2 linked regions of the Coturnix japonica genome follow. The protein of the gene in region 2 interacts with the protein of the main gene of each other region in a pairwise test. Links are inferred from orthologs where the notes say so. Each region holds a gene or a part of one and is shown on either strand. Other genes may lie near its edges. The genes, in order: ELK4 and SRF.

Region 1 (14,991 bases), on a different chromosome or scaffold from region 2:
AATGAGAGCAGAACCGGGAGGAGCAGAGATGCAACAGGTGAGATGAAGGGGCTGCAGGGGGATGAGTGAAGCGGGGGGGTCCCATTGGGGCTGCTGACACTCGTTTGTCTTTGGTCGGATGGTGCGGGCATCCCTTTAACTCAATGGGATCTGCAGCAGCGCTGTTAAGTGTCTTTAGTTCTTTGAGCACTGCTGGAGATGCACAAGGCTGTAAGAAACCTGCCCGGGTTTGTTCAGCCCTTTCCTGCCCTCCGGGTGGGCTTTTGTTTGTTGTTCATGCAATAGAACTGTGGGCTTTGGATATGTGGGATTTATAGTAAAGAAACCTTCTGAGCTGTGGAATCCGTGGTGTAATTCAATCATCCTTGGGGGTATTCTGAAAGGATGGAGACTAACTGAGCTGCTCTGCAAAGGTGGAAAATCAGGTTGGGAAACAGTTTGGTAGCCGGGGGGGGGGAGGCTCTTTGGAGCCAGAGCTGATGAGAGGGTCAGGAAGCAGAGATCAGAGGGGGATCAGAGCATTGGGATGGAGGCAGGGCTGCGATTTGCTGCTGCCTTTCAGGTGATGGTTCAGAGCGGGGATTTGTGTTGTGATGAAAACACGCAGCCCGCAGGCTGAGCTTTGGCTGAGCACCGTCCTCACCTCGCATGGGGGCAGAGCTGGCTCTGCTCATCGCGTCTGGCTGGCACAGAGCTGTGCTGGGGATGAATGTGGGCAGCCCCAAGCGATGCAGAGCAGCTCCGGGCAGACGGGGAGCTCCTTAAAGGAAGAGTCTTTCTGTTATATCCAAGCTGCTTCTCAGAAATCTCCTCTCCCAGCTGGCAGGACCCTGGGGAAGGGTTGATAAGGAAGACTGGCTCAACAGGTTTGCAGCTCTGCAGTAATCTCATGGACTTGTTTACTCTGGAAAACACTCCCAGGTGACTTTGGCATCGGTTTTCTTTCTCTTGGAAACTCACTTTCCTCATTAGAGACATCCAAGACACGCAGGCAGGGTGGCTGTGCCATTTGTGACCCATCCAGCAGCACATGCCTGCCCTCTGGTGCAGGTGGAAGAGTTTCACTATGTAGTTTTGCCTTAATAAGTTTGATTCTGGAAGGGATCGAACCCTTAGCAGCCTACATAGGAAGAGGGTTGGTTGGCATGTGGGTTTTTTTGAGCCACAGCATCTTTATTATCAAACAAAGACCATTGACTGCTTATGATGTTTTCTTTCTAAGGCACAGTCTGTTACACTCAAAGCCTGGAGTCTTCTGACCACCTCCTGGAGGGCAGGTACATCAAGATCGTCCCACTGCCCAACCCAATGGGATCTGGGATACTGGGGGTGTCCAGGATCAGAAAGCAGCCCCTGTGTGTCTGAAAGCCCCCACAGCCCCTGTGTGTGTCCATAAGTGCCCACAGCTGGGCTGCAGCAAGGTGTACACCAAGAGCTCCCACCTGAAGGCCTAAATCTGCAGGCACAAAGGGGAGAAGCCCTACAGCTGTGCCTGGCTGGAGGTAAGTGGGAACTATGGGGGGTGGGGAGGACCGAGCTTTGCCTTTTGCCTTTGCTTTTTCTCCCTGTGTGCCCCCCCTGGCTGCCCATGTCCCTCCAGCACGGCTCCTTTGTGCATCCTCTCCCTTTGCTCTGTGCACAGCGTTGTTCTCTTTCATCTCCATTCCCTCAATTGACCTCTCTGTGCTTCTCCGTTTGCTTCCTGCTGCAATGTTCTCTTCCTGGTACCCACATGCCTGTCCCCAGGGGCAGGATGCTCAGCACAGCCTTTGGCAAGGAGGGTTAACAGTCCTCAGGTGTTGCATAGTGCTTCTCCTTCAGCAGATCTCAAAGGATATCACAAGGAAAACTGGTGCTGGCAGCACTGAGCTTCCTTGGTTTCTTGTGCAAGGCCTTGGCACCATCTTGCTGCCTTGATTCCCTGCACGGTGGAGGGCAGCTGCAGTCTTAGGAGGAGCTGAGACTTCGGAACTCACTTTTTTGAGCTGGAAAAGAGCTGGTTGGGTTGCATGGATGAACTGAGGACGGCCTTGGGATGCATTTAATCTTCACAGAGCTTTTGAAGGGCAAGCATTGTGTTTGCTGTACCAGGTGTGAGCTGGGAGTCTGGGGTTACATCTGAAGCTCCTTCCTTTGTGCTTCTTTTGCGTGGGCCTGATGGAAAAACCCTTCCATCCTAATACTGCTGCCATCTGTGTTGGCTCCATAGAGGCAGAACAAGAGTAAATCCTGCCCTGTCCTCCTCTCCTGCATCCCCCTGGCACTCAGACATGCAAAGCACCCTGCAGTCCCACCAACCCCAGGCTTATCTGAGGTGGCACCTTGGAAGGGCTGAGCATCACCTCCCTGCTCCCTATTGGAGCCCTGTGCCAAGCAGAAAGGAGCAGGAGAATTGAGCAGGGATGATGTGCTTGTAGTTAAAGGGACTTCCCAGGTGGTACAGCTGATCTGTGTGGATATCACACAGCCCAAAGCAGTGTGAGCGCTGGGTATTCCTGCAGTCTTCGCTGCTGCTGCATCCTCAATTCATTCGCTTTGGCATGGAAACCTCTGCTCCCCTGCTGCAGGCTGGCTCTCCTGCTCTGTGCTCTGTGCTAAGCCAGCTCACACACAAGCTGCTCCTCTCTCCCAGCCCTGACATTGAAAACTCACTGCCATTCTGAGAATCAAAGGGATGCTCGCAATGCTCCATGCTGCCCTTCTCCTTACTGGTTCTCCCATTCAGATGAGCTCTCCAGGCACAAGAACTCGCACTCCGGTATCAAACCACACCAATGTGCCACCTGCAAGAAGCACTTTGCTGGCCAAGCACATGAGGATCCATCAGGGCCAACTGGGAAGCAATGGGATGTAGGGCTGACTTGGTGACAGTGCAAGGAGAGCTGAAGAAGAGAAATGACTTTGTAGTGGCTGATGGTGCTTTGGAGCTCTCCCCAATGACGGGCTGCATTCAGGCTTTGTTTCTATGTGATACACATGGTGGAGATCTATTGGAGTCCATGGGGAGCTGAAGGGGATCCTAAAGGATCATCTGCATGCAGACACAGCCATGCATGTGGGTGCAGGAGAGCTGCATGCATTGGCTGGGGGGAGCTCTGCAGCTTGCTGACGTCCTCTTTATATTTAACTTCTGGTTAATTAAAGGCCAACTTTTTGCTCCCGTGCCAGCTTGCCAAGCTTTTGCAAACATCTGGGAGGGAATCAGGTGCTTGTACAAACAAAGAACGAACGTCAGGAGTTCCAGCTGGGTGGTGTGTCCCTCCTACGTGGCTTTGCCTGCATGTCTCAGGCTGATGTTTGCTGCCTGCAGGCCCCTTTGTCACTCAGGTTTGCTTGTGCCATTATTGCATTGTGCTTCTAGGGCAGGACTTTGTGTGTTTGTGTGGAGCTGCTGCTTTGGTGAGGAGATTTGGGGTGTACCTATAAGAAGGGCAGGGAAATGAACCTAATCCTGTTCCTAAAGCAGAGCTTAAACTCCTTGATTTATTCTGCTGCCCCTATGCCCAAGAAACACCTCCTATAAGTGACAAGCCGGGGCAGGCAGGTATACAAGGGCCTATTTTTGGTTGCCTTTTGTGTTAGTGGATTTTTGCCTGACCAGGAATTCACTAAATGCCCTTTCCTTCAGGGCTCTCTCCAGGGGCTTCGTGCCAACGTGACTCATGCCCGTCTCGTGCTTTCATCTGCCCTTCTTTTGCTCCTCTCCCTCACTCCAGACTCTCCCAGCACACTCCCTGTTCGCTTTGGACCTGCCTCATCCTGCCTCCCTCTGTTTGAAGCCGAAGGCAACTGGGAAAGGCGCCTTTCCAAACTGGAGCAAGAAGAGCCGTGTCTCAGCCTTCATGCCAAGCAGTTCTTCCCTCCTGCAGCAGCTATTTGCTGAGCAGATGCTATGGGGTGGATCTGCTATGGAAGACGAGGCTGGGAGCGCTGGCTGTGGTGTCTTGCTGCTCACCTGGTTGGTTTTGCCATCTCTTTTAAGCAGACCACAAAGGGAGGGGAGAGATCTTTAATAAATAAAACACTCCAGATCCGTATCTCTTGAGCAATGCGTGTTATAGTCTCACCTGCTTCCCTCTGGGGACTTGGGATGAGTGGCTTAGAAGGTTTACTTGAAGGCTCTGTAATTATCCGTCCTTTGCTCCAGTGAGGATATTACTCTGCAGCACAAATGCTTTGTGGAAGCACAGATGAGAACTGTGGCCATGGGAGGAATGAGGAAGAGGAGACCCTTCTGTCTTCCCAACTATATTGGAGGTGCTGAGATGCATCTCATACGTGTGTCATTGGGGATGCTGGGTTCCAGCCCAGCTCTGTGCTGACCTGGGCTGTGTGTGTGTTGTTCTGCCCTGCTGGGAATGGGAAGGGATGGGAGGAACCTCTTGCAGTGTTCTTGCTGTGGGGTTGCTAAGCGCTGCTCTTTAGGAAATGAAATGCAAGCAGGCAGGAGTTGTAGCAGAGCAGGATGTGGGAAGAGCACAAAGAGAAATTCAGGCGACGTTTCTAAATCCGTCCGCCTGGATACAGGGATGAATTTACTCTGGATATAGCAGCAGGCAGAGCCAGCCCCACGCTGCAGCCCACAGTGGCACCTGTGCAAGGGGCTGGAGCTGCTGTCCCCATGGTTGTGTCAATGCGTCCATCCCTGTGTCTGGGCAGGGGGTGTGAGGTCCATGGGTTTGTATGGGCTGGAGAAGAGGGGACTGAGGGGGGTCCTCATGGTGGTTCTGAATGGCAGCCTATAACTTCCCATTGCCTCCAGCTTGGCAACAATGAAGACAGAATAGTGGGCATGGTGGGGAGGGGTTGATGGTTGGGCTTGGTTGTCTTTTCCAACCATAATAATTCTATAACACTGCCAACACCTGTACCCCAATACAACCAAGCAGCCCCACTCTGACTTCTCCTTTTGCTGTCTCTTCCCCTTTAAGACACTGTTGCTCGAGTTGCTTCTTTTTAAAGCATCTTTACGTATGAGCTTTCTCTAAGACCTGCCTTCTTGCCTGCGCTATTTCATCCCATCCCTTTGTCCTACATATTTTCCCCCCCTTGTGATGTTGTCTAAGATGGGAACAAACCCACGTTCGCTTGCAAACCCACGGCAGGGGAAGCAGAACAAAGTGAGGGCTGCACATAGAAAGAGATCTATTCTCCCTCTCTAGGAAAGACCCTTTGGGGCTGATTCTCAGTGAAGCTGAGCTGCAGATGAGGCCATGTAAATGGTAGGGCACAGGATTCCCCGAGCTTCACGTCTTTCAGCTCCCTTTCCATCTGTATCTCGACCTTTAAATGCTATTAAAGGGATTGTGAAGTAAAACCGTCCATCTCCATCTTGGTTTCTTTCACTTCATTTGGGACCAGCTGAGGGAGATGGGCTGTAACAGCACAGAACTTCATGGCAACAAACACTAATTGCAGCTGGAGGTGCTCGGGTTTAGCTGGGATCTCTTCATGTGTGTTTGGGGTGATGGCACAACAAGAGAATAAAAGAAGAGGTTTGTTAAGAAGAGCAATTAGGTGAGATGTGCACGGAGGGCTTTGCACAAACACATCTCACCTCTTGCTGGCGTGCAGCTGGAAACAAACCCCATAGGTTGCATGTTTTGGCATGCGTTGTTGTTTGACTGCAAGAGCTGCTTGAAGGGCTTTTGTTTGCCTCTGCTAGTTGTGGGTGAGGCTGTGTGTGCATTGGGGGGGTGCATTGCTGCTCCCAATGGCAAACCCAATGGGGCTCAGCTCTCCGGCTGGTATTGAATGTGCTCTTTTAGGTTGTAACTCAGGGCAATCAATGAGCCGCAGGCCAAGGCAATGAGCAGCATCTGAGCACAGTGGGCAGCTCCTTAGGGGCTGCTTTAGTGAGCTTCAATGGGATTAAAGCTCCTGCTCTATGCTATGACCCCCCATTGCTTCTGCTCAGCCCTATGGGTGCTGCAGGGTTGTGCTGCTGCAAAGGGAGAAGCAAGGAAGGGAATAGAGGACGTCTATAGGGTTGTCTACAGGGATGTCTATAGGATGTCTATAGGGACGTCTATAGGGTTGTCTATAGGGACGTCTATAGGATGTCTATAGGGTCGTCTATAGGGCTGTCTATAGGGACGTCTATAGGGTTGTCTATAGGGTTGTCTATAGGGATGTCTATAGGGGTTTCTATAGGGACGTCTATAGGGACGTCCACAGGGTTGTCTATAGGGACGCCTATAGGGTTGTCTACAGGGAGGACTATAGGGAAGTCTATAGGGACATCTATAGGGTTGTCTATAGGGTTATCTATAGGGACGTCTATAGGGTTGTCTATAGGGATGTCTATTTGGATGTCTATAGGGACGTCTATAGGGTTGTCTGTAGGGTTGTCTATAGGGACATCTATAAGTTTGTCTATAGGGTTGTCTATAGGGATGTCTATTTGGATGTCTATAGGGACTTCTATAGGGTTTCTATAGGGTTTCTATAGGGTTTTCTATAGGGTTTTCTATAGGGTTTCTATAGGGACATCCATAGGGACGTCTATAGGGTTGTCCATAGGGACATCTATAGGGATGTCTATAGGGTTGTCTAGATATGTCTATATATGTCTGCTACACCTTCAGCTTCTCTCTATGGCCCTTCTCCTTTAAGGATACCTCCATCCCCCCTCTGCTATCCCGGCCATTTAAACTCATCTCTACATTCAACCACCGCTCCCCTTCAGCCTTACACTGCCCCATATCACTTCGGTTCTAACCCGGTCCCATTAAACCCCATTATCAGCTCGGCCCGGCCCGGTCACATGGCAGCGAGCGGCCTGTACGGGCATAAAGCCTCACTGACTACATTACCCATAATGCATTACAACAAGTGGGCGGAACCTCTTCTTTCCCATTGGTCAACAACACCCCCGCTCTGCTCGGTGATTGGACCGTGGGCCGTGGGCGGAAGTGTGGCGTACGGTGGCCGAGTTGGCTCAATCGCATTGAGGTTGGCGTTGCGCGTCCCGCCATGTAACGCTCCGCCGCTCCCCGTTCCGCCTCCATCCATCAGCTCCGGTTTCTCCTTCGCTTCTCAACCCGGTTCCTCCCTTATAGGGATGGGGGGTCGGTGTTCGACACACCGAGGGGGTTCCCGGTCATGAAGGGTGGCTGGGGGGGCCGTTCCCAGCACCTGCCCGCAGCGACGGGACCCGCAACGAACGGGGATCCTCCTCGGTAAGAGCTGAATATGGGGTAGGCCCGAATATAGGGGGGTTAGGCCTCAATATAGGGGGGGGGTCGGCCCTAATATAGGGGGGGGTCGTTGCTTTAAGGCCCCGGCCTTGAGTTGAGGGGGGGACCAGGTAGTAGGTGGGGGTTGGGGGGGGTCAGGAAGTGGGAGACTTGGCTGTATGCTGTGCTATGGGGTTGGAAGGAGGAGGATACGACCCCATTCTGCTTTGTTTTGGGGTCTTATTTAATCTTATATATATATTAACCCCCCCCCTCTACACCCCATTCCCCTGCCCCCCCCTCTACACCTTCCCCTGCCCCCCCACCCCGTTTTCTTGCCTTTTTTCCCTTCTGTTCCACCTCTCCCTTCAATCTGGGCGGATGCTGCCCACATCAATAGGGCTTGAAATCCTTAGAGAAACTATATGTATATATGCAAATCCACCGCTGTGCTTGGCTTTATTTTACACTCCTGTTTACAAGCCGGCCAGTTACACAACGCTCACCTCCTATGTACAGCCAGATATCTTCCATCCCGCTCCATTATATCCTGCCCCATTGGGGGCACACAGCATCGATACAGCTTGGCTGCTTTGCTTTTAAAGCAGCAGCTGTAGAACCATATGGATGTAGAGTTGGGTTATTAGCGTTGCTTCCCCCCTCCCTTTCTTTCCTATGGCACCAGCACATCCTCCCTCCCAAACAAAACTGCGCCGTCGTGATTTCGACCCGCCTGTTTATTTTTAGGGTCTCGGAGCCTGTTTGGAGTGAGGAGTCGTTCCCATCATCATAGCAACGGGGCTGAGTGTATTATAAACATTATTAGAGGAAAGCTTTTCCATCTTAAAACGAGGCTTCCTGTCGGTAATAAGGTTAGGGTCAGCTGGATGCATGGGACCTGTTGTTTCGGGTCTGAGCATCACCCAGCCCTTCCCAGCAGGGATGCTGTTGCGTGGTGCTATTGAAACCAATGGGATCTGCTGTTGGTAAACATTCCCCTTCAGCCCGTTGTGGTGGCAAATAAGGAGGAAGCGAGCGTGTAATCTACTTAAAGAGGCTTTTTTGGGTTGAAATACGTGTTTCTGTGGCTTACTCAGAGCCAGTCACGTCAGTGATAGAAACCAATCACAGGAGCTGCGTTGCTTTAAGTTTGCCGTTCTGTTTGCCCTGAGCACGCAGCAAATGCTCAGTGAGGATGGGAAGCTGTCGTTTAACAGATGGGAGGTGAAATGATGGAACAAACCAGCGCTGAAACAAACAGCTCGACGTGTTTTCTGCCTCCTTAATGTCTCCTAAACCCTCAGCTTTGAGCCGACAAGGCGACATGGAGCGCAGCAGTTGGGTGAAGTAAATAGGACTTGGAGAGGGATGAGGTGAGGGAAGCAGCCCTTATCTAAAGGACATCCTTTGGTGCTTCCTTCCCAGTGCTTCCTGCTCTTAGAGCTTTTCCTGCCAGGGTTGAAGGGAGGGCTGCAACCTGTTGGAGCCTGGAGTTGTTTTCTTGCTGTTTGTTTCTTATTCTTGCCTGTTTTTTTGTGGTCTGAACGCTCCTTGGTTTCCTTGTTTGGAGGCATCAATGTGGCAAGGTGCAGGTTTAGGTGAATCCCTTATACATGGCAGCTTTGGGATTGGGAATGAAGCTACAAAGGCAGTGTGACAGAAGGACTTAAGGGTGTTCTTAGGGTTCCCTTTGTGTTCCCAATGAGGGCTGGGTGCTGTTCCCAGCAGGAAAACCTGACTTTTGGTTCTCTATGCACTGAAATGAATCCAAATGGATCATGTTCTGAAGGTAACAGTGGAGCTGAATGGCTTTCCCAGCGGCTTGAAAGTGTTTCCTGAAAGCTCCTGTTGGGAAAAGGGATATTTCAAGTGCTGCTCTAATGAAACTGTTGCTTGATTGTGTGTTGCTGGCTGCTTAATGAGATGTTTCATCAGCGATGTTACAGCTCTGGTCCTTTTACTCCAATAAAAGGAGCTGGGGGAATAGAGCAGCTCTTTACTTATTGTTTTGGCTGCAGACAATGAACTGCGTGATCTTACCTTGAGTTTAACCCTGTCTGATGGAGACCCTGGGCCTGTGACCTCCAGAGATCTCCATTAATCTGGCATTGCTTCTTTGTTTGTTTGCTTTCCTGGCCGTGTCTGTGCAAGAGCATTGCACAACGTTGCACGGGGGTTTATTGTCTGCACGTGCCTTCGGTTTACACATCTTCAGCCATTAGAAACACTGGGGAATGGTACAATGCAACCAGAGCAGCTCAGCTTTGCTGTCTGTGTGCATGCAAAGCAAGGCAGCAAGTGCAGCTTCCTGCCACAGTGCAAGGGCTTCGTTTGCTGCATGGCAGAGGTCCCAAAGCCCACCTCTAACTTAATGCTGCTGCTATATTAGACTTATTTGTTAACAGAGAGCAGAGTTTCTGCTCTCTGCTGGCAAACGTCTGTGTGTTGTGGTTGGTGCACACAGACGCAGTGCTGCTTTTGTTGCTGGCAATCTTTGAGCAGCATCTTTTGTGGCTCATGTCACCAGGTGGTTCTGCTGCTGCTCAGCTCAGCTTTGGAGATGCTGCTTCTATATCTGGGCAGCTGGATGGGTGTCAGTGCCTGCAGGTGATGGCTTGGTCCTCCCTTTCCTTTGCATTGTGCATTGCTTGCGTGGGGGATTCTAACGAGGTTGCAGCCCCGACTGCTGTAATCAGTCCATCTGCAGAAGTCATCAGCCTGCAGCTGCTGATAAGGAAACATGCCGAGGCGAAGGATTACTCGAGCTGTTCTCGGGGCTGACTCAAAAGCAGGAAACATGCCAGAAGACCTCAAAGATGGGGGCTGGTAGGGGGGGTGGGATATAGATCTGCTTTGCTGGAGCTCCTCTGGGTGCTGCCTCCCTCGGGGCTGAACCTGAAGGTTGTTGTTCTGCAATGGTGAGTAAATCTGTGGCCACAGTATGGAATTGCCCTGTGCCACTTCGGAAGCTGTGCCACCCAGCAATTGCACACTGCCTGCCACTAATGATGCGGAGCCCCGAGGCTCTGTAATCACCCGGATTGTGGCGTAGATGGATGAGAAGTCGCTGGAAAAGATGCGTATCTCGTGTCCCAGCTCTGATGTAAACGTGAGGCTTTGTACCTTTCTCAAGGCCTCAAACAGAGCTGCAGCAACACGAGAAAAGCTCCTCTTCGCAGCGCTCCTACTTAGAAAAGTGCAGCCAAATGCTGTCAGCTCCTCTGTGTGCTTCAAGGGTCATCTGTAGGCGTCAGAGAAGATCTCAAGACAATAATAGTGCTCTATTTTAGCATACTCATTACAAAGTATAACTGCCCTCTGCCTCTAGCAACTATTTTTTTCCTCGCACTCAAATGGTGCAGAAGTGGGAAGGCTGTTGTCATAAACAGTGCTGTTGCCTCTCTGCCTAATTCCCTCTTTGTCTTTTCGCATGAGACCATTTCCCTTCTCCGTGGACTCTTGCAAGGAAAATAACCTTCAGCTAAAAGGCTGCGCTTGTAATCATCAGCACATTCATCTCGAAGGAAAAGCAATCAGACGAGGAGGCTTTTTCTGCTGCTGGGAGCTGTGCTGCAGCTTGATGACATCTGGAAGAAGCTGAGGTGTTCCATAGGAGCCACACGAGGAGCAGCATCTCAACATTGTGAGAATGGGGTGGTGGGTTCCCATCCTCCTGCCCCAGCTGCAGAAGGAGGAATCGATGTTGAATGCATCCTTTGGGTTCTCTAAAGTCACACACAGAGCGGCTGTGCTGCTTTTAGTTGTGCATCTAGTGTGATGTTTTGGTTCGGCTTCACTTTATCCCACTTCTTTCTGGAGAAGCAGCAGTTCTTTGTGTTCTCGTGCCCTATCAAGGCAAGTTTAATGAAGTTCAATTACACGTGCCTTTGTTCCTAGCATCACATTCTCCTATGCATATATTACTCCAGAGGGGCAGGGTGTACCTGCCCACCTGTCCCACTGCTTCAGCCTGATTGCAGGGTTATTATTTCCCTTTATATCTAATCAGGATGAGCTTCTGGATACATTCAGGTGTCGCTCCTGTTGTTTCCTGTAGGTGTGTACAATAAGGAATGAATGAAGAGGGGCGTTCATCTGCAGCATAACCTGGCCGTGCACGATGCTGTGCTGCATCCTTAATGAAATGGTGGAAGGAATGGCACACGGTGCTACAACCTGGGACTCCACGAGTGTTGGTAGCATACAGATGCATCTGATGTTTGCTGTAGCCCCTGGAGGGGGATTCCTCCAGCCATTAAGCTTTGCTGTATGCAGAGATCACAGTGCCTGCATCCCAGGAGGCCTGGTGTTGTTGTAGATGCTGCTGAGCACAATGTGGCACATTGCTCCGAAGGTGGCTTGTAACAAATCTCTCCTGTTCAATACAGGCATGTGCTGTGCTGCTGTTTGTGCCATGAGAGCACAGTTGTGTTGGCTGTGTGCATCTCAGCTCTGCTCCAGCCACGAGCCAGGCAACGATGTGACTGCAGTAAGGTTGGAGTGTGCTGATAATAACAGCAAAGTGCTTCTTGCTCAAGGGAAGCACACCGAAATTACACGGCATTTCAATTTGGGGATGCAATCATCACAGGTTTTTAGGAGGAGAAAAAGCCTTTGCCTTCCTGAGATTCTGCTGCTAATCTAATTTCTGTGTGATTACCTCCCATTGCATCGCTCGGCGCTGTTTGGTGCAGTGCTGCTTATATGGGCTTTGAAGCTGCTGCAGCTAAACGTAGCGTGGGAATAATCACTCGACTTCATTTTCCTGCTCTTTCTCTGTTAACACTTATCACGGCTATTGACAGCTCTGTAGAATGGTAGAATCAAGTCCTTATGTCTACACAACACCCCGTGCGTGTGCATCATCCTGACAGGATAATGAGGCTGTGCTGGTGATGCTCCATAGGAAACAGCATTGGTAAAGTGCACAGCAGAAAGCAGGGAGGGCTTTAACTCCATTCCTTGCCCCACAGCTCCCTGCTGCCCCTGCAGGGCTCACTAAGCAGCTGCTGTCTTCATAGAGCTCTCAGCAATTAATTTGGGCAGGCACAGAGCTGTAAGCATCAGTAATTAATGAGGAAAGCACCTTAGGCCAGCATAACTAGGTGGTGTGGGTGTCCTTCATTTTGAGATTGTTGGCTGTAATTGCAGCAGTTGAACCCAGTTGATCAATGTTACCTTGCTGTGGAGTCATGTCAGTGTGCCATCAGGCAGGTATTTGTGAAAATAGGTTAAATGCAATGAGCTCTGCCCAAAAGAATACCTGCCCCGGGGCACCTGATTTAAATAGGAATGCTTGGTCCTGTGTATACTGTCAGCACTAATCCTTTTTCAGGGCTGACTGGATTCTGAGGCTCTGACATGTAGACTGTTCTCTTCCTTATTTAGGGCTGGCTAAGTGCTGGGCAGTAACGAGATTGGAATAAAGGCTTTGGTAACTGGCAGTCCTGCCTGGATCTCAAACTTAGCCCTGTGTGCGTGTGGACCTCAACAACACAAGCACGAGTCCTTGCAGGAGCCGTGAACCTTCAGAGCCTCCTCCTACCAACAGCACTTGGTGTCTGGAGCTGCACTCACTCAAACAGGAACCCCTGTGCCATTTAGGTTGGCCTTTATCAAGGGTTGGGGCAGGGGGATATTTAGCAGGGCCCACATCCAGCATGGTTCTATGGGAAGGCTCTTATTGCAGTGCAGCCGTGTTTGCTTTTGTTACGTTGGAAGAAGTTTAGGCCGTATGGAGAGAAGCTGTGTGTTGTGGGATAAGAGGATCCATATGGGATATTGCATTAATATCATTTTATCTGTTTTAATTCACAGCCTGGCTTATAATTCCTTTGTATGGACAGGATTATTGGTGTTACACTTAAATCTTGGTGGAAGTACCACCTCATATAGGCAGGGAATGACCTCCCTTCACTGCTGACTACATCCCCACCTGCAGTGCTGGAGTGACATTGGTCCTAAAAGACCTCAGCCTTACAAACTGATGTGTGTGAGAAAAGATCAAGAGAAGAGCCAAAGCAATGCTTGAAATCGTATTTGCTTCTTTTCTTCTTTGCTTAATTTCTTAGAAAAAGAGACGAAAATTGCAAAAGGAAGATTAGAGAGCAGGGTGGGGGGTGGCTGGGAGGGACATTAGCAATGTGAACTGAAGGAAGGTTGGGTTGTTCTTTACAGTGATATCTTCAGGCAGCTGAAGGAGGAGGCTGCAGGTGGGTGGGAATGGAGGAGGTGAGGGGGGAGATGGTTTGATTTTTACCTGGGTGCACCTGAGCTGTTCCTCAGTACAACACAGAATGGGTGAACGTGGGACAGCTTAGAATTGGGGTGGTTTTCTTTTTGTTGTGTGTTTTTTTTTTGGGGGGGAGGGGGGTAATGACTCATTGCAACTTACCCAAAATGACCTGATTTAGTTAAATGAGGCTAAATATAACCCATGTGAAAAGGACTGACATGTGGGAGGAGACGATAGCAGTTGGCTCTCAGCCTCCCTGTTCTGCAGGGAACATCTTTCACGACTGGTGACTAATAATTTTTACTCTTGCTGCCTTTGGAAATAACATCTCTGTGCCCTCACCCTCCTTCTAGGGAGACACAGAAAGATGCACCGTTCCTAATCTCTGTTGCCTTTTCTCTGCCTTTCTGCATTACAGCTTACTGCTATGGACAGTGCTATCACCCTGTGGCAGTTCCTCCTCCAACTCCTGAAAGAGCCTCAGAACAAGAATATCATCTGTTGGACCTCCAATGACGGGGAGTTCAAACTGCAGCAGGCAGAGGAGGTGGCCAGGCTGTGGGGAATCCGCAAGAACAAGCCTAGCATGAACTATGACAAACTCAGCCGTGCTCTCAGATACTATTATGTGAAGGTAACGAAGTCCATAAATCCACCTGAAATCCTTATCCATCTTACCAGCTTCTGCCTAATGAGCTTTGTTTCCTTTTTCATTCTCTTCAAGGGGGTAGGTGTCACTTCTGGCTTCAAGAATTAAGTGAGGTGCACTGACTTAAGTTCAGAGGTTTTTATTTCCCTTTTTATTTATCCTCATGCCCGGTTCCTCCCCAGTGGTTGTTTTATAAGGTTCTGGATTGGCTTTATGCAAAATGGTTTCCTTTTAATTTATGTCTGTATAATAAACATCCTCTGTGACCCAAATTGTGTGTGGCTTTCCAGTGAGGAGCAAGTGTGACAGAGGTTTTATGATATTGAAGTAGCTGATAAGCCCACGTTCTGTTGAACAGTTCAGCTGCTTATTATCATCTCATTAAGAATAAGGTATCGGGCATCAATTCTACAAACCTTGTAAGCCTTAATTCTGTGTGTTCTCCTCTTAGATTATGCTTGCAGTGCCCAGAGCAGTGATCTTAACTTCAGTGGTGGTATCTTTGTTTCCTAGAGGATCTTCTTAACTATTTGAAACAGAGTTGCTCTGCTGATTTAGGGTTTCTGTTGGTGCACTGAGGTCAGGTTGAGCTCACCTGTTGTGTCTGTGAATTGCAAGAATGCAGCGTGTTTAAAACAAAGGAAAAGAAAGTATTTCTGTTTGAAAGATTACAAACTATTGAATTCCTCAGTCTATTTTAGGCAGAGTTTGTAGCAGGAAAATGAATCTAAAGAAAGGCTAAAAATACCTATCTTCTTACCCACAGAATATCATTAAAAAAGTGAACGGTAAGAAGTTTGTGTACAAGTTTGTTTCTTATCCGGAGATCTTAAAAATGGATCCTCTTGTCGTGGGCCGTATAGAAGGAGAACCCGACCTGACCAGCTTTGCAGAGGTTAGCAGTGCTCCAAAGGACGTGGAAAGCTGCG
Region 2 (14,756 bases):
TCCACATCCTGCATGCATGCCTTCACACTGTTTTGGCCCCTCATGCACCCACACATCCCTTCCAGTCTTCCTGACTCCCCCCACGCCAGCAACTCTCACCCTCTCACCCAGAAAATGACTCAAGGAATCCTTTACACAGGAGAAGAGCTGGCTCTAAAAAGCACAGACCCTTGCTGGGTCTTTTCAGTAGATATGATGGTTTAGAAGAAAATCCTCTAGAATGGATACATAGCAAAAAAACACATGGAAAAAGGAGAACCCCCAAAGAAGCACCAACCCAGACTTACCCTGATCCTGGACCTGGCTGTGGGACACCTGCATTGCTGAGGGTGCCTGCGAGAAAGCATTGAGGACTGCAAGTCCACCATCCGCAAGGCCAGAGGTGGGTGCGTACATCACCGCGTGCGGGCTGGGGTACATCATGTGGCCGCCCACGGTGGTTGGCACAGACGACGTCATGATGGTCGCTGGGAGGGTCACTGGCAGCAGGACAAACTACATGTAAGTTACACTGCAGGAACCTGCCACACTTACACACCTGCACAGCCACCCTCCCTCTCAGCCCCCACACGTGCTAGCAGCAGGCATGGGGAGGCACACACAGTGTTCTCCCAGGGAACAAGCAAGAGAGCTTTGGTCAGTGAGAACAAGGCAGCCTTACAGACAACACAAGACTGAACTCAAACCATGGTACAGGTTTCCTGATGAAGCTAATTTAAGCTGTTGAACTGGATTCGGTCTGCATCCAGGCACCTGACATCTTTTTTCCTTTTATTTAGTAACAAAAAAGGGTGTCCTCAAGAACACGCAAACCAATGCTTTGTGCAAGGGGCAATGCTGGATCAATAGGAAACCATCTGAGAACTAGGAAGAGCCTGGCAACATGTTCCCAGCTCCATGCTACAGGATGAGAGGTGATGACCAAGTTGTACCAGGGAAGGTTCAGGTCAGTGTGTAATGTCTTAGTAAACATTTCTTCTCCCAAATTGCAGTGAGGCAGTGGTACAACTGCCCTGGGAGTGGTGGGGTCACCGTCCATAGAGGTGTCCCAAAGCTGTGGGGATGTGGCACTGAGGGACGTGGTTGGTGGGCATGGTGAGGGTGGGTTGATGGTTGGACTGGGAGACTTTAACAGTCTCTTCCATCCCTATTGATTCCATGAAAGAGCAAGTAATGCACCAAGACTGGTTCTGAAGTCTGCTGAGGTACTCCACACACAGCACCTAGCTAGAAGCAGCAGAGCATGGGAGCTGCTAACAGGGATAAATAAATCTGGGAAACTGTCAGCGTGGTTGGGATAGCTGGACTGAACGATGCTGGGTCAGGAGAGGGGTGAGGGAGTATTAACCGTGGTTAGAAAGGGAGAACGCAGTTATCATGAAGCCCCTATTACCTGTTCCACTGGGAGAGGTCTGAGTAAGGTCAGTGCTGCTGTCACTGGAGGGAGACGTTTGCTGCGGTGCCTGGTGCACCTGGATCGCCTGGACAGGGACTTGCTGAGCCATGGTGCCACCTGAGGAGAAAAGGGAGCCTTCAGTCTGCCAGCCTTCATCCCTCTCTAGCCATGCACAGCTCCACACATGGCCCATCACGGTGCTGGTGCACAAGGGCCAAAGAGGGGTCAAGCTGGCCTGCAGGGCTCTGGAGGGAAAAGGAAATGCCACAGCAGCTTCTGTCCAGCATCTAGGTATAGTTCAGGGATGTCAGTGGCCCTCATTACCAATCCTGTCCACAAGGACATGGCACGGAAGATGCTGTGAGGAGGGCACCAGCACAGCCCATTGCTCAAGCAGCCCCACAAAGCCAGGCTTTCAGCATTAAGCAGAACAGCAAGAGCCCACCTTCCACAGCAGGGTCTTCACCCTCTGGAGCCCAGCATCATTCTCTGCAGGGCACTCAGGAACAGCCACCCCAAAGACAGCGCAGTGCCTTGCATAGGAACAAGAGCACAGCTGCCCCAACACACAGCCCAGGGCTGCATGGGCAGTCACACAGCCTCTGAGCCAGCCTGCTCAGCACATGGCTCTCAGCATGGCTATGCAGACACCGAGCAGGACACAGAGCTCCCCTCAGGCTCACTTTTTGCCTCCAGAGGGAACAGCAAGTGATACCAGACAGAAAACCCAGGTTGGACATCTCCCCATACACCCAACCTGTGGCTTCTGGTGCAGCATCTCCCCATGCAACACACCAGAAACACACAATCAGCAATTAACCTCTCAGCTCCTCCAGACCAGAAGGGAAATGTGGTCCCCTTGCACAGGCCCAAAGGAGCTGCAAGAGGCCATCAGACTTAGCAGCATGGAAACGAGCGGCACAACACAAGAATACGGCCTCACCCACAGCACTGGTACCAAGGAGACGGTACCCGAGACCTAGTACAGCACTCAGAGAGCCCTTCACTTGGCACAAGAGATTCCTGCCAAACACAAATGCCCACACAGCAACACCTCGGTCTCTTTCATCACCAATCTTCTGCACTGTGGCTCAGCGGCCAACTACAGATCTAGGCATGACAGCTGCTCAGAGCCAAACACTAACACTCAAAACCACATCCACAGGGCACCTTAGCACCGTAGTCTCCCTCCATCCATCACTCCTCTCTGCTCAGCCTCGGTGCATCAGCAACCCATCTCTTACGTGTACACAAGTGTGGAGCAAAGCCTGGCTCAGGGGACCAAGAACTGCACCTGCCAGCACACTGCTCACACCAAGACCTGTCCCTCTGTGTCTCCCAAGACCACAGCCAGGCTGCTCTGCCTCCCCATGCACTCACCTGTGTGCTGGGGTCAGCTCCCTGAGCAAGGACAGGGTCCCTGCACGAGCCTCCATTTCCCCCAATCTAAAACGAACAGAGCAGAAGGAAGTGCTGACCTGTCAGCGACAGGATCTGCCCTGCAGCTCTGACAGGGAAGCGGAAGACCGTGTGCTGTGCCTGATGTAGCTGTCCAGCTGTACCCACGAGTGCCTGACCCTGCTGGCTGGAAAAAGCCAGCGAGTGTGGCTGTAAATGAGGGAAAGGAATGGCAGGGGTCCCCAGAGACAGGGAAGCACCTGCCAAAAGGAGGGAGAAAAAAAGGCTTCATCACCACCAGCTCTTTTTGCTTCCTCCAGGCCTCTTTGTGCTGTCCTGGGGTACCTTGCTCAGCTCCCAGCCACCACACCCTTCCCAGCAGCAGGGCCCTACAGGAACTGTCACCGATCAAACAAAGCATCCCAGCCACGTTCATCCTAAGGCAGCAACCACTGCCTCCACCGGCAGCCAGGTCTCCCATTCTCAACACGTCTCGAGAGCAGAGATAGACAGATGAACACAGCACTGAGTAGCACTGACCTGACATGAGGGTGAAGCCGGTGGGTATCTGCATGAGGCCCCCGGATGTCACTGCACTGGCTCCAGTAGTCTTCAGCACTGTCCCGTTGGCACTGGTGACGGCACTGGGGCTGATGCTGGCAGACACTGGCGCCAGGTAATTCGTGATGGGGAACGAGGGGCCGCTGCTGACCTGCATGGAGGACGAGGTGGTGGGCGCCGTTTGGATGGTGGATGTCGTCCCAGGCAGGTTGGTGACAGTGAAGGTGGGTTTCAGCACATCCTAGGGGAGGAGAAACGGTGACAACTCAGGCTCTGCGGGCCGTGCCCCCTGTGCCGCCAAGGAAGGGTTAATGCGGGCACACTTGCAGCCCTCCCGCAGCACGGCGGGCCCAGCACTCCCACGTGCTGCGCCTTGTTCCCCGCTTGTCAGGCTGCCAGCAGCCAGGAATTCACAGCTCCGCGAACAGCTAAAAAAGGGAAGGCAGCCCATTTTAGACAGGGGGGAGCCAATCCCGGGCACTCAGCCCTGCCCCAGGGCCCGTTGAGGGAGGAGAGCAGAACCCCTCTGCCTTGGCACCGTGGTCCCCCCACGTCCAAATTAGAAGAGGCACGTGACCACGGCGCGGCGCCCAGTGCAGGCACTTTCCATTAGCTCAGCCACAGCCCCCCGCGACGTGGGAGCTGCAGGCACACTCCCACCTGGGCCATGAAGCCCACTTGGCTCTGTAAGCTATGGCAGAGTGGGCTCGCTTCCAGCTGGAACAGCCCAGCTCCCTCATCCCCACACACAGCCCTGCACACCCCAGGGCCTGTAACATCTCCACGCTACATCCTCTGGGGCATGGGAAAGGCAGCCCAAGATACACACAGAGCAGCTCAGTGCTCCCTTAGAACACGAATACAATGAGAAAAGCAAAGGGGCTCCAACCATGCACACCCAACTCTGCCACCTCCAATGTGCTACTCCTAGCTCGCAATGCCAGCACAGAGAACTGGGACAGCCCTTGGGGTCGGACACCTACCACCTGCCTGGGATGCTCCTGAGCCCCTGGGCACCCTGACTCGCCCCAGCACCCCACTGAGCTCAGCCTGCATGCAGGAGCCAAGCTATGAGCCACTCTCTGCAAGGGTACCCAACGCACCACACATCCAGGGTACCCCTGCAGGTTCTGGCCCTGGTGCTACACAGGAGAGATCCCATTCTGCTCTCCAACAGCTGCTGTGCACTCCAGCTAGGGCACAAAGCCCCATATCCTTCCCCCAACCCAAGCTCCTATTCCAACCCCAGTCTCCCTCCAAACAGGGCACTGGGTCCTTTGGTGGACTACCCACATCAGCACACAACAGCTCTGTTGCCAGGCTGGAGCTGTCCCAAGAGCACAGCATCCCCATGTCCCCGCTGCCATCCCAGCTGCACTCCAGGGCAGGCGCTGGGGCTTGGCACAGCAGGAGGACCTCGCAGCTGCTGCTGGCTGCATGGCTCCTCACGCTGCTACTGCAGCCAAACGCCAGCAGATCCCGTCCGTACAGGGAGCAGCTCTCAGAGCATCAGCAGGGCTGTGCTGGAGCCTGAGCCAAAGGGCACCAAGCTGGGCTGGCACCAGAGAGAAGAAGGTTCAAACCTCTGCAAAGCAACCACGCCACGAGAACACGTTTCCTTTGGGGCCACCTGGCAGCATTTCCAGTGGAAACCTTAAAGGACTCTGCGTGAGCAAGCCCTGCACCAGGGACGAGTCAGTGGCACGCGCAGCCCTTCCTGCCCCACGCCTGCTGCGAAGGGCTGGCACAGCTCCCACCAGGCACCCAGGGGAGTCATGCCAGCCTGGGGAAGCTGGGTTCCCATCAGTGGGAAGCCTTCCAGGGCCAAGCCCTGGTTGGGGGGCACCCAGCCCACAGCACCTTATTCCATCACACCTCTAGGATCCCCAGCAAGTATTTTCCCCTCAGTGGTATTTATGGGGCACAGCAGCATACACACCGAGAGCAGAAATCCCTCCCCCAGGTAACCAGCAGCAACATGACCAGAGGTGATGTGGGATGTAAACACGTACAATAAGGATTCCCAGAGCACTAAGCTGTGTCTGTACTCAGTCTCTGGGGTTACACCAACAGCACAGGGCTCTCAAGCACCCTCACTGGGCTCTGTTGCACACAGTCTCCACAGGGCAAGGCTGGCACACAGCGAGCTGGAGGAGCAGGATGTCACTGCTCATCCCACTGGAACAGGTACAGCGGAGCTCACAGCACCCAACTGGACCCGGGGAGCTGCAGCACAGCCCCAACTCTGTGCACATCTCTGAGCATCCGCGTGCCCAACCACTGGAGCCCCTCGAGGAGCAGCATCGGGGCACATCGAGCTGCCCTGCCCCGGGGCTAACCAGCAGCACGGCCAGGCAGAGAGCAGGAACACTCGGTCCAGCCAAGTGTTTCCATTCCCCATGTCCTCCCTGCCCCCTTCCAAAACAGCACCAAAGCAAGAGACAGCTGCAGCTTATAAGGAATGTGAGGGGCCCTGCCAGGGACTCTGGCGAGGGAAACCAGGCCTTATAAGGCCATGGAGGCAGAATCAAATTTTTATCAATGAGTGCGAGCGCATGGAGACGCCCGGGGAGAGATAACGGCGCCCAGAGGCCGAGCGGCGCGGGAGGGGGCCCGGCCCCCAGCGGGGCCTCACCTTGGTCTCCCCGCTGCTGTCCGACTCAGACACCTGGTAGGTGAGGTCCGTCTCCTCGAAGCCCGTGGCGCTCATGCGCTGGTCGGTGGTGGGGTCGGAGCGCGGCGGCGAGTCCGGGGAGTTGAGGCACGTCTGGATGAGCGCCTTGCCCGTCTCGCTGGTGATCATGGGCTGCAGCTTGCGCGTGGCGAACGTGTACACATGGCCCGTCTCGCTGGCCACCAGCAGCAGCACCTGGGTGCCGGTCAGCGTCGACAGCTCGTAGGCCTGCGGGGCGGCACGGGGCGTCACGGGGACCCTCGGCGGGGGACGCGGCGGGCAGCGCTCCGTCCCTCCCTCCCTCCCCCCCCCGCTCGCCCGCCCCCCCCGTCGGCTCCGCGCTCCCCCGCATCCGCCCCCCGCCCCGCGCTTCCGGGCCGCTCCCGGTGCCCCGGGGCCGCACCTTCTTCATGATGCCGGTCTTCCTCTTGCTGAAGGTGGTGTATCGCCGCAGCTTGTTGTCGATGAACTCCATCTTGATCTTCACCCGGCCGCGCGTCTTCTTGCCGGGCTTGGCGCCGCTCACCGCCCCGCCGCCCGCTCCGCCGCTCCCGAACGCCGCCGTGGCCGCCGCCGCTCCTCCCGCCGCGGGCACCGACACCGCCGCCGCCGCGGCCGCCGCCGCCGCCGCCTCGGCCAGGCCGCGCTTGAGGCCGCGCCGCTCCGGGCCCAGCTCCTCCTCCTCCGCCGACTCCGAGTCGCCCTCGCTGCCGCTGTACAGCGCCTCCCGCTCCAGCCGGGCCCCGGGCGGCCCCGCCGCCGCCGCCGCCGCCGCCCCGCCACCGCCGTTCGCCCCGCGCGGCACCGGCGAGCGGCCCATCCCCGCCCCGCGGGCCAGCGCGGCGGCGGCGGCGCCGTTCCCGGCCCCGGCCTGGCTGGGCAACATCGCGGCGGGTCGCGTCGGGCCGGGCCGGGTCAGGCCGGCCCCGCCATGGCCCCGCTCCGCGCTCACGGCCCCGCTCCGCCGCCCCCGCCGCGCCGCGCCGCCCCCATATAAAGCGATACAATGTTGCCTTTTATGGAGAAGCCGCTCCTTATATGGGGCGAGCCGGCGCCCCGCCGGGAGGCGCCGCGCTATTGGCCGCCGCCCGCCCGGCGCCGCCGCCCATTGGCCGCCGCACGGCGGTCGATTTGCATACGTTCCGACCGCTGTCGCGTCACCCGCGGATTGAAACATGCGCGGGGTCTTAAAGGGGCCGCACCGCGCGGACGGGCGGCACGGGGCGTAACGCGGGGCGGATGGACACAGCGCCTCCAGCACACGGACCGGGCTCCGATCACAGCGCACCTCGCTCCTTCCGCTCAGAGCCAGGCAGAGCCGTTGAGGTGCAGGGAGGCTCCGGGCCACGCGAGTACACGCACAGAGTGCCAAACCTCGTCCCAGCAAAGGGCTCTGCGGGACAGCACGGAGACACCCCTGCGGGAGGAGGGGGGGCTCGCTGCCTCCATCCAGCTGGACGCCCACACAGCTGCAGCAGCCCATCTCATCCAGCCCCAGCACTGCCGTGCTGCCCACGTGCCTCGTGGCACAGGGGTCTCTGCGCTCACCCCCAGCCCGTCTCTGTGTGCAGCCTCCTGTGGAGCAGCGTGGCAGCCGAAACAAACACCCCCCTTGGCTGCCCCCCAGCCGTGCTCCTCCAGTGAGCACACATGCCATTTTTAGCTCCCACAGGGCGCTGGGGCTCACATGCTTCCCATCACATGCCCTGCCTGCCCTGCCCCGGGGCCCAGCACCGGCCACACCTGGCGCAGGTGGCCCACGAAGGGCTGCAGGGCCTCTCTGCACCATATGGGCCGGGCAGGTCCCCTACCCAGCATGGGCGTGCAGACACCACATGCACCAGGGCTGGGGTTACCTTGATGCCACTCTTCAGGCTCAGAGCTCTTGGGCTGAGGGTTGAGCCCCTCAGAGGCCTCAGGCCTGATCTTGGTGCTCAGGTGGGTTGGAGGTGGCAGCAGCCGCCCCCCCCCCCAAGCTCTGTAAATGGGAATAGCAGGGAGACACAAATCAGACCAAGCCCTTAACAGCAGTCCCACAGTACCTGACCAGAGCAGGGTGAGCCAGCTGCTGTGCACAGGCCTCCTACAGCTGCTTACATACCTACCAGGAGATATGCCCAGAGCCAGGCTGGATAAGAAAGCTACAACACATGCTGGCAGCCAGGCCAAAGCAGCAGCACCTATGTGGTAGACCAAAAAAAGACCGAGTAGCTTTGGCTGGAGGTTAAGTGCAGCTCCTGGGCCACTCCCCTGGGTGGGAGGTCCCAGGTGAGGCTGCTAAGAGCAATTTGGTCCCATTGGTTCCCTGCAGGGCTCTAATGCACCCACCTGAGTGCCACAGGGCAGCAGAGGAAAGCCAAGTGAGCCATGGGGTGGGCCTGTGCCCCATAGCAAAGCCCCTGGATCTCTGGGCAAACAGAGGTAGCCAGGGAACATAACGGCAATACCAGCTCTCAAGGGCATGTGGAGGCACAAGGCCTAGAGATCCTTATGCTGCAAGCAGTTGGCAGCCAACAATGTGTGCCTGCTGCTTGCACCTCATTCTGTGCCATACACGTTTGGGTTTGGGGCTGCTAAGTGGCCCTTTGCTATGGTGAGGCTATGCTGCTCTCCAGCCCTGGGTATGACACGCTGCCTTCCTTTCCCAAGGCTCTGTGTTCCCTCCACTTGGGTTCAGGCAATGAGACCCCATCCCTGTCAGCTGTCCAAGTCCTCTCCTTCTCCAGCAGAATGAGATGCTCCAACAGCCCGCTCCCCCGTGCCGCATTTAGCTAGGGCCCTATTTGTTCAGCCCGCTGGTTCCAATTAGTTTGGCCAACATCTGCCTCGTCCCCGAGGATACAGAGCTTTTTCATGACATCACTCCCCAAAATACACAGCCCCAGCCCCCAATCTTTCTGCACCCTCTGGGTCTGGAGTTTGTCCTGACTCTGGTGCCTTCCCATATGCTCATGGTGGGCAGGCACTGGAGCCCTTGCAGTGTATCAGGGTGAGGCTGAGCACCCCATCCTGACACAGCTTCCTATAGCTCCAGCTGTTTGCATCTTAACACGGGGCAGCAAGGCGGGATGCACACCAAAGGCCACAGCTCAGCTCTGCTTTGGTCAGGTTGATGGTTAGACTTGAAAATTGTGGAGGTCTTTGTCAACCTACATGATTCTAGCACATGTCCAGAAGTGAGCCCTTCTCATGCTCCACGTGAGCCTTCCCCCCGGCCAACAGGGGATCCTGACACTGCTGCTCCATTGATGGTCAAAGCAGGTTGCTCAGGGCCCATCCAGCCCAGGGCTGAGCATCTCTGGTGATGGAGAACTCACAGCTCCTGGGACTGTCCCAGACCCTCACCCTCATGACACACGTATCATGCTGCAGGGACTGCCCCAGCACAGCAGGGCTTCTCCTTGCCAAGACATGCACAAGATGCAATGGCAGGAGTCTCCCCCACACTTGAGTTCCTGGCCCTGGGAGGAAAAGTCAAGCAGGCAGTGACAGCAGTGTCTTACAAAGACACCAAATAAAAGAGAGAGGGGAAAAAAAAAAAGCCTTCTTTATTGAGAGCAGCACATATAAACCCAACCAAACCCAACCATTCTTGGCTGCGGTACCCTCCGCTCAAGCAAACAAACTAACCCACTCTAGGCTGCGTTCCAGTAACAGAAATACTATGGTGGGGAGGAGGCAGCACCGGGGGAGGAGGAGGAGGAGGAGAGCGCTGCCCCCAGGAGTCGTACAAAAAAAGGCACGGGGAAGGATCTGGGGAAAGGTGGTGGAGCGTCTCCTTCATATGCCAGGCACTTTGTGTTCCTGATAGCGGGCCGTGCCCGCAGGCAATGCCTAGCACAGATGGACGGACAGATATGCACGTGGTGAGCAGGGAGGGAGAGCCCGGTGCCAGCAGCCCACGGGCTTTGTGCACCCGTGGAGGAGAGGGGGTGTGTGGGGGAAGTACACTGGCTTGTGCTTTGAGTCCAGCAGCCGCTGGTGCCGCGTGTTGGGGTCGGGCTCAGCGAAGGCTGCAGGAGCACCGGGGGCAGCGCAGAGCCCCTGCCCGCCCTGCCGCATCCTTCCCAACAAGGTGCTCAGGCTTTGCTGTCGGCCGGGCTGTCCCCGAGGGTGGTGGCGAGCTCGCTAAAGGAGGGTCGGTCCTTGGGGCTGGGCGCCCAGCAGCGCTGCATCAGCTTGGCAAGGCGTGAAGGGCAGCCCTCGGGCTGTGGGAGCTTCGTCTTTCCCGACTGCAGACCTGGCAGAGAAGCAAAGGCCAAGGGGATGTTGGGAGGAGGCACCATCCCCTCCACGGGGAGTGAGGAGCATTCACCACGACGCGGGCTCTCACGGTGCACGAGGTGCTCCACATACCTGCTAGGACCTCGTCATCTGCCAGCGGGGTGTACGGCATCTCCCCCTGTGTGAACACCTCCCACATGAGCACCCCGAAGGACCACACGTCTGACTTGGTGGAGAACTCATCCTCCAGCACGGCTTCGGGCGGCATCCAGCGCAGCGGGATCCAGGCCTGACGGAAGTGGTAGTACTCGCTGCAGGCAGGACAGTGGCAGCTGGTGAGATGGGCATCGCTCTGTGCTCCCACCCCCCCACCAGGATCCCGGCTGACCTGTTGTACACATCCTTGCTGAGGCTCAGGGCTGAGACCTTCACCTGCCTCTGGGCGCTCACCAGGCAGTTCCTGGCCGCCAAGTCCCGGTGCACAAACCTGCCGTTGGAGAGGTGCTCCATCCCCAGCGCCACCTGTGTGCACAGAGACACCTGGCCCCAGCGAGATGCTGGCACTGGCAGCCCTCCCCAGCAGCCCCGGCGCTGTGGTGCTTCCAAAGCCACACGCTCACCTTGTGCTTGGTGCTGAGGGGCTGCGGCTTCAGGGACTCATCCTTGCTCTTGGAGATTCTCAGGAACTGCTTCAGGTCCCCCTGTGAGATAGATGGAAGCTCAGAGTTGATGTTCTAACAACGCTCATTGGTCCCCATAGTGCCTAGATGTGGTGGGCCCACAGGAGCCTTGTTCTATGGGCCATGGCCCTCCTGATCCCCGCAGGGCAAACTAGTATCTCCCTAAAGGTAAGGTCAGGGCAAGCAGGCCCATGCTTCCAGAAGGCCAGCCATGCCCCAGAGGGCTTCCTATCCCACCAGCTCCAGGCTCCCCCTAGCAGTAACCCACATTTGCAGCCATTGTGCAGTGAAGGGTCCCAAAGCTTCATCCTCCTTGGGATTCATAGAATCACCCACCCCTCACCATGGGCTGGCTGCCCCCCACCAGCTCAGGCTGCCCAGGGCCCCATCCAACTTGGCCTTGGGCACCTCCAGGGATGAGGCACCCACAGCTCTAGGCAACCTGTAAACTCAGCCTTGCCTCCTCACCCTCACCCACCCAGTGACAACAGCCCAGACCAACCCAGATGCAGGACGCCATCTCCACTATCCTCCCACAGGCTCAGGAGCTGCTGGTAGGACCCTTACCAAGTCCACATACTCCAGGACCATATAGTGCGGCTCAGCCTCACGGCACAGCCCCAGCAGCCGCACCACGTTGGTGTGGTTCAGTTTGCCAAACATCTCTGCCTCGCGCCTGAAGTCCAGCTGCAGCTGTTCATCCCTTGTCTGCAGGCTCTTCACCAGCACCAGCGCTTCACCCTCACCATCCTCTGCACCTTTTGCCTTGGCCAGGAAGACTTCACCAAACTCCCCCCTACCTGGAAGTGCAGAGCAGCACAGAGGGATACAGCATGCATTAGGACAGGCAGCTTGGTAGCAGCTGGACCTTCTGTGCCCCAGTGCACTGAGTTTCCTGGCTGGCACACACTAGACCAAGAGTTTCTTGTTGAGAAGCAGGACAGGGTGGCCCAGCATACCCAAGGTAGTGATTGTTTGCAGGTTGGAACGGGGGAAGTGCATCTTGTCAGTGGCACTGTGCCGCTTGCTGGCCCCAGAGCTGCTGCCCAGGTTGGTCAAGGCCACCTCCTCCTGGATCTCAGCCGTCGTCTGCCCATTCTGCAGCAAAGTACCACCTGCAAGGGATGTACCACATGGCTTCAGCATCCTGACAAGCAACATCACGCAGGCAATCAGTCCCTTCCGGACACCCCAAGCACCCCTAACCAGCCCCACAGAGCGCCCTCCCCACAGCTGCTCCCTGTGGGCTCACGTCTGGCCCCATCTCCGCCAGCCCTGAAATCAGATGCTGAGCAATGGCTTTGGTCCCAGAGCCAACTAGCCCCATCTGGCCTTGTCTGTCCCACACCATGCTGACATCTCCTAGGGGTGGCTACATCACAACTGCACGTGGACAGAACTCCACACAACCACAGCAGATCAGACATGAGGTGGAGCGGGCCCTGCTCATGGCCTTCTAACATCCAAGACACCCTTGGGTCCATCTGACCTGACCCCCCTGCTCCTGCAATGCTCACCTCCTTGTAACCTGGAACCTGCCACACCAGGGCAGCTTGGACCTTCTTTTATCACCTATATTAAAGCAGAGCTAGAGAGTGCTGTCCTTATAATGAACACCAGCAGACATTCTGATTAGGAAGCCCACTAGAAATTTCCCTGGCACAAAGAGAAACAAGTGAGCAACAGAAATCATTACTGCCATAAGAAAGCAGAGAGGTCTGTGTTTGTAGCAGAGAGAATGTGGTGTAGAAGGCAAACGGTGGCTTTGTGTGCATGTAGTGCTTGGATCAGACCCAGCACCAGGAAGCAAAACTTTTGTGAGCTGAATGTAAAGTGCAGAGCACAGCACCGAGCTAAGGTGACACACGTGCAGCACCACTGTGCGTTGCTGTGCACACTCCACACCTGGTCGTACCTGGCTTTGCCATGGGTCAGCTGGGTGCCGTGAAGACTGAGATGTGCTCAGTTCAGAGCTGTGCCTACTGACACGTTGTCCTCTCCCACAGGCTGGAGCAATACTTGCAGAAGGCCACAGCAGAAAAACACCATCTGCCCAATAAATCAAAGCTCGATACTACTTGCGCTCACCCTGCTTCTATGCTAATTGCCAGCAGCCCAGCACTTACGGGCTGTTTGAGCCTCTGCTGTCTGCAGCAATGACTGATGGCGTCTCAAGAATAGAAGCCTGAAGCCAAGAGGATGATACAAGACCACTGCACCCGTGCCAAGAAAATACCAAAGGCTGCAGAGCAAGTACTCTGCTGCTGAGAGACAGCACTGGTGGGTGGCAGTGCTTTTGAGCAGACATCCCCATCCGTCACAGAGCTCTGACAAGACAGGTGGTAACAAAGGGACCAAGAGGGATGAAGTTTCATTTAGGTATCTAGAAGTATTAAAAGGAAACCAAGCATAAAGCCCTGCTTTGCCCACCTCCTGCACCATGTGAGCACCTCCTGCAGAAATCAGCATGTGCCAATATGGAAATACAATACTCCCATCAGTGTCCGGGGCAGTTAACCTCCCAGATGGTTTCCATATTCACCCGAAAAAGCAGCAGTCAGGTGGAGGGGCACTGGGGAGAAGCAGAGGGTGCACAATGCCAGGGATGTGACCTCACAAGATGACTGACTAGTTAGGAATACATCCATCTGCAGGAAATCCATGGGAAGCAGCCACTTCCAATCCACAGGAAGGTTCAATCTGTCTGGCAAAGCATCCAGCTGGTGGCCAGGCAGGGAACTTTTATCACCAGGTAGGTGCTGAGAGACTTCAGGTCACCCTGCTGACTGGGGATCAGAACACAGGTGAGGTTGGAAGGAAAACACAAAGCACTTCTCCAGGGGAGGCTACGGATGTGCCAGAAAGGAGTGCAGACATCTGGGAAGCTGAGCAAGGGCTACAACTACTTACGACACAACCCTCTGAGAGCTACACTGGTTCCACATGAAGGGAATCAGAAAAGGCAGAGTCCACTGGCATAAACAAAAAATAGAATAAAGAGAGATAAAAAAAAAAAAAAACCTGCCCAAAACTGAGGCAACATGAGAAAGGATTCAAACAAATCCCTTCCAAGGAAGAGGATGATGGCCAGAGTCTGCTGGCACATGGGCTGTCTGCATGTTGGCTATGTGAAGAGCTTGCAGAGGGGACAGCAGCAGAGCACAGAACTGCAGAGATGCATCCTGGCTCTCAGAACGTTCCACAGCCAAACTTCTCTCTTCTGGAGGTTTGGTTCCAACCTCAAAGTATCCGTACAAGAGGGAAAAGCAGCCGACAAACCCCTTTGTGGTATTTTGCCAGGACCTCACAACAGCTGCCAGAAGCTCAGGCCGAGGCTGCGTGCAGGAAGAGGTCCAGGGAGCTACATAGGAAGCAAACTTGACCGCTCCCCATCACTCAGAAGTCCTCCCTGGGATCAATGACATAGGAACAAAATGCGATGTCCAAGGAAGAACTAAAACAGCTTTTGGAAGTGAAAATGATGCTGCGGAGATCTCTTGGGTTCAGGTTTATAGAAGGGCACCCTTTCCTGGCCTATTTCTCACCTGGCAGCAGGTTCCTACCACCGGCCACGACCAAAACCACGCTCACCCTCAGCCACCCCTCTCAAGGCCATGGGGCTGCCAGAGAAGCCCCCAGGACCAAGGGTGTTGGCCTCACCATTCAGACACTCCATCTCGGGCTCCTCGCCCTCCGGGTGCTTCTTCAGCCTCTTGGCTTTCCTCCTCTTCTTGCAGTAGAACATCAGCCCCAGCACGATAATAATGTAGGCGACAGCTGCTCCCACTGAGAGCCCAATGGTCTGGATCATCTTGTAGGGCGT

What was found.
Region 1: the proteins of SRF (region 2) and ELK4 interact in a two-hybrid assay, tested with the Homo sapiens proteins (2 studies listed by BioGRID and IntAct). The link is inferred for Coturnix japonica from reciprocal best matches to the Homo sapiens genes SRF and ELK4.

Annotation. Positions count from the first base shown.
Region 1 is NC_029541.1:2,497,086-2,512,076, reverse strand, and holds the start of ELK4 (ETS domain-containing protein Elk-4), read left to right. Parts: upstream 1-6,941; 5' UTR 6,942-7,181; intron 7,182-13,831; 5' UTR 13,832-13,840; coding exon 13,841-14,047; intron 14,048-14,828; coding exon 14,829-14,991. UniProt on the Homo sapiens protein: Involved in both transcriptional activation and repression. Interaction with SIRT7 leads to recruitment and stabilization of SIRT7 at promoters, followed by deacetylation of histone H3 at 'Lys-18' (H3K18Ac) and subsequent transcription repression.
Region 2 is NC_029518.1:3,484,868-3,499,623, forward strand, and holds the start of SRF (serum response factor), read right to left. Parts: upstream 6,980-14,756; 5' UTR 6,916-6,979; coding exon 6,433-6,915; intron 6,258-6,432; coding exon 5,991-6,257; intron 3,597-5,990; coding exon 3,335-3,596; intron 1,514-3,334; coding exon 1,394-1,513; intron 480-1,393; coding exon 288-479; intron 1-287. Other genes in the region: PTK7 (inactive tyrosine-protein kinase 7), read right to left, coding at 10,109-10,269, 10,386-10,564, 10,642-10,793, 10,874-10,954, 11,501-11,733, 11,893-12,048, 14,594-14,756. UniProt on the Homo sapiens protein: SRF is a transcription factor that binds to the serum response element (SRE), a short sequence of dyad symmetry located 300 bp to the 5' of the site of transcription initiation of some genes (such as FOS).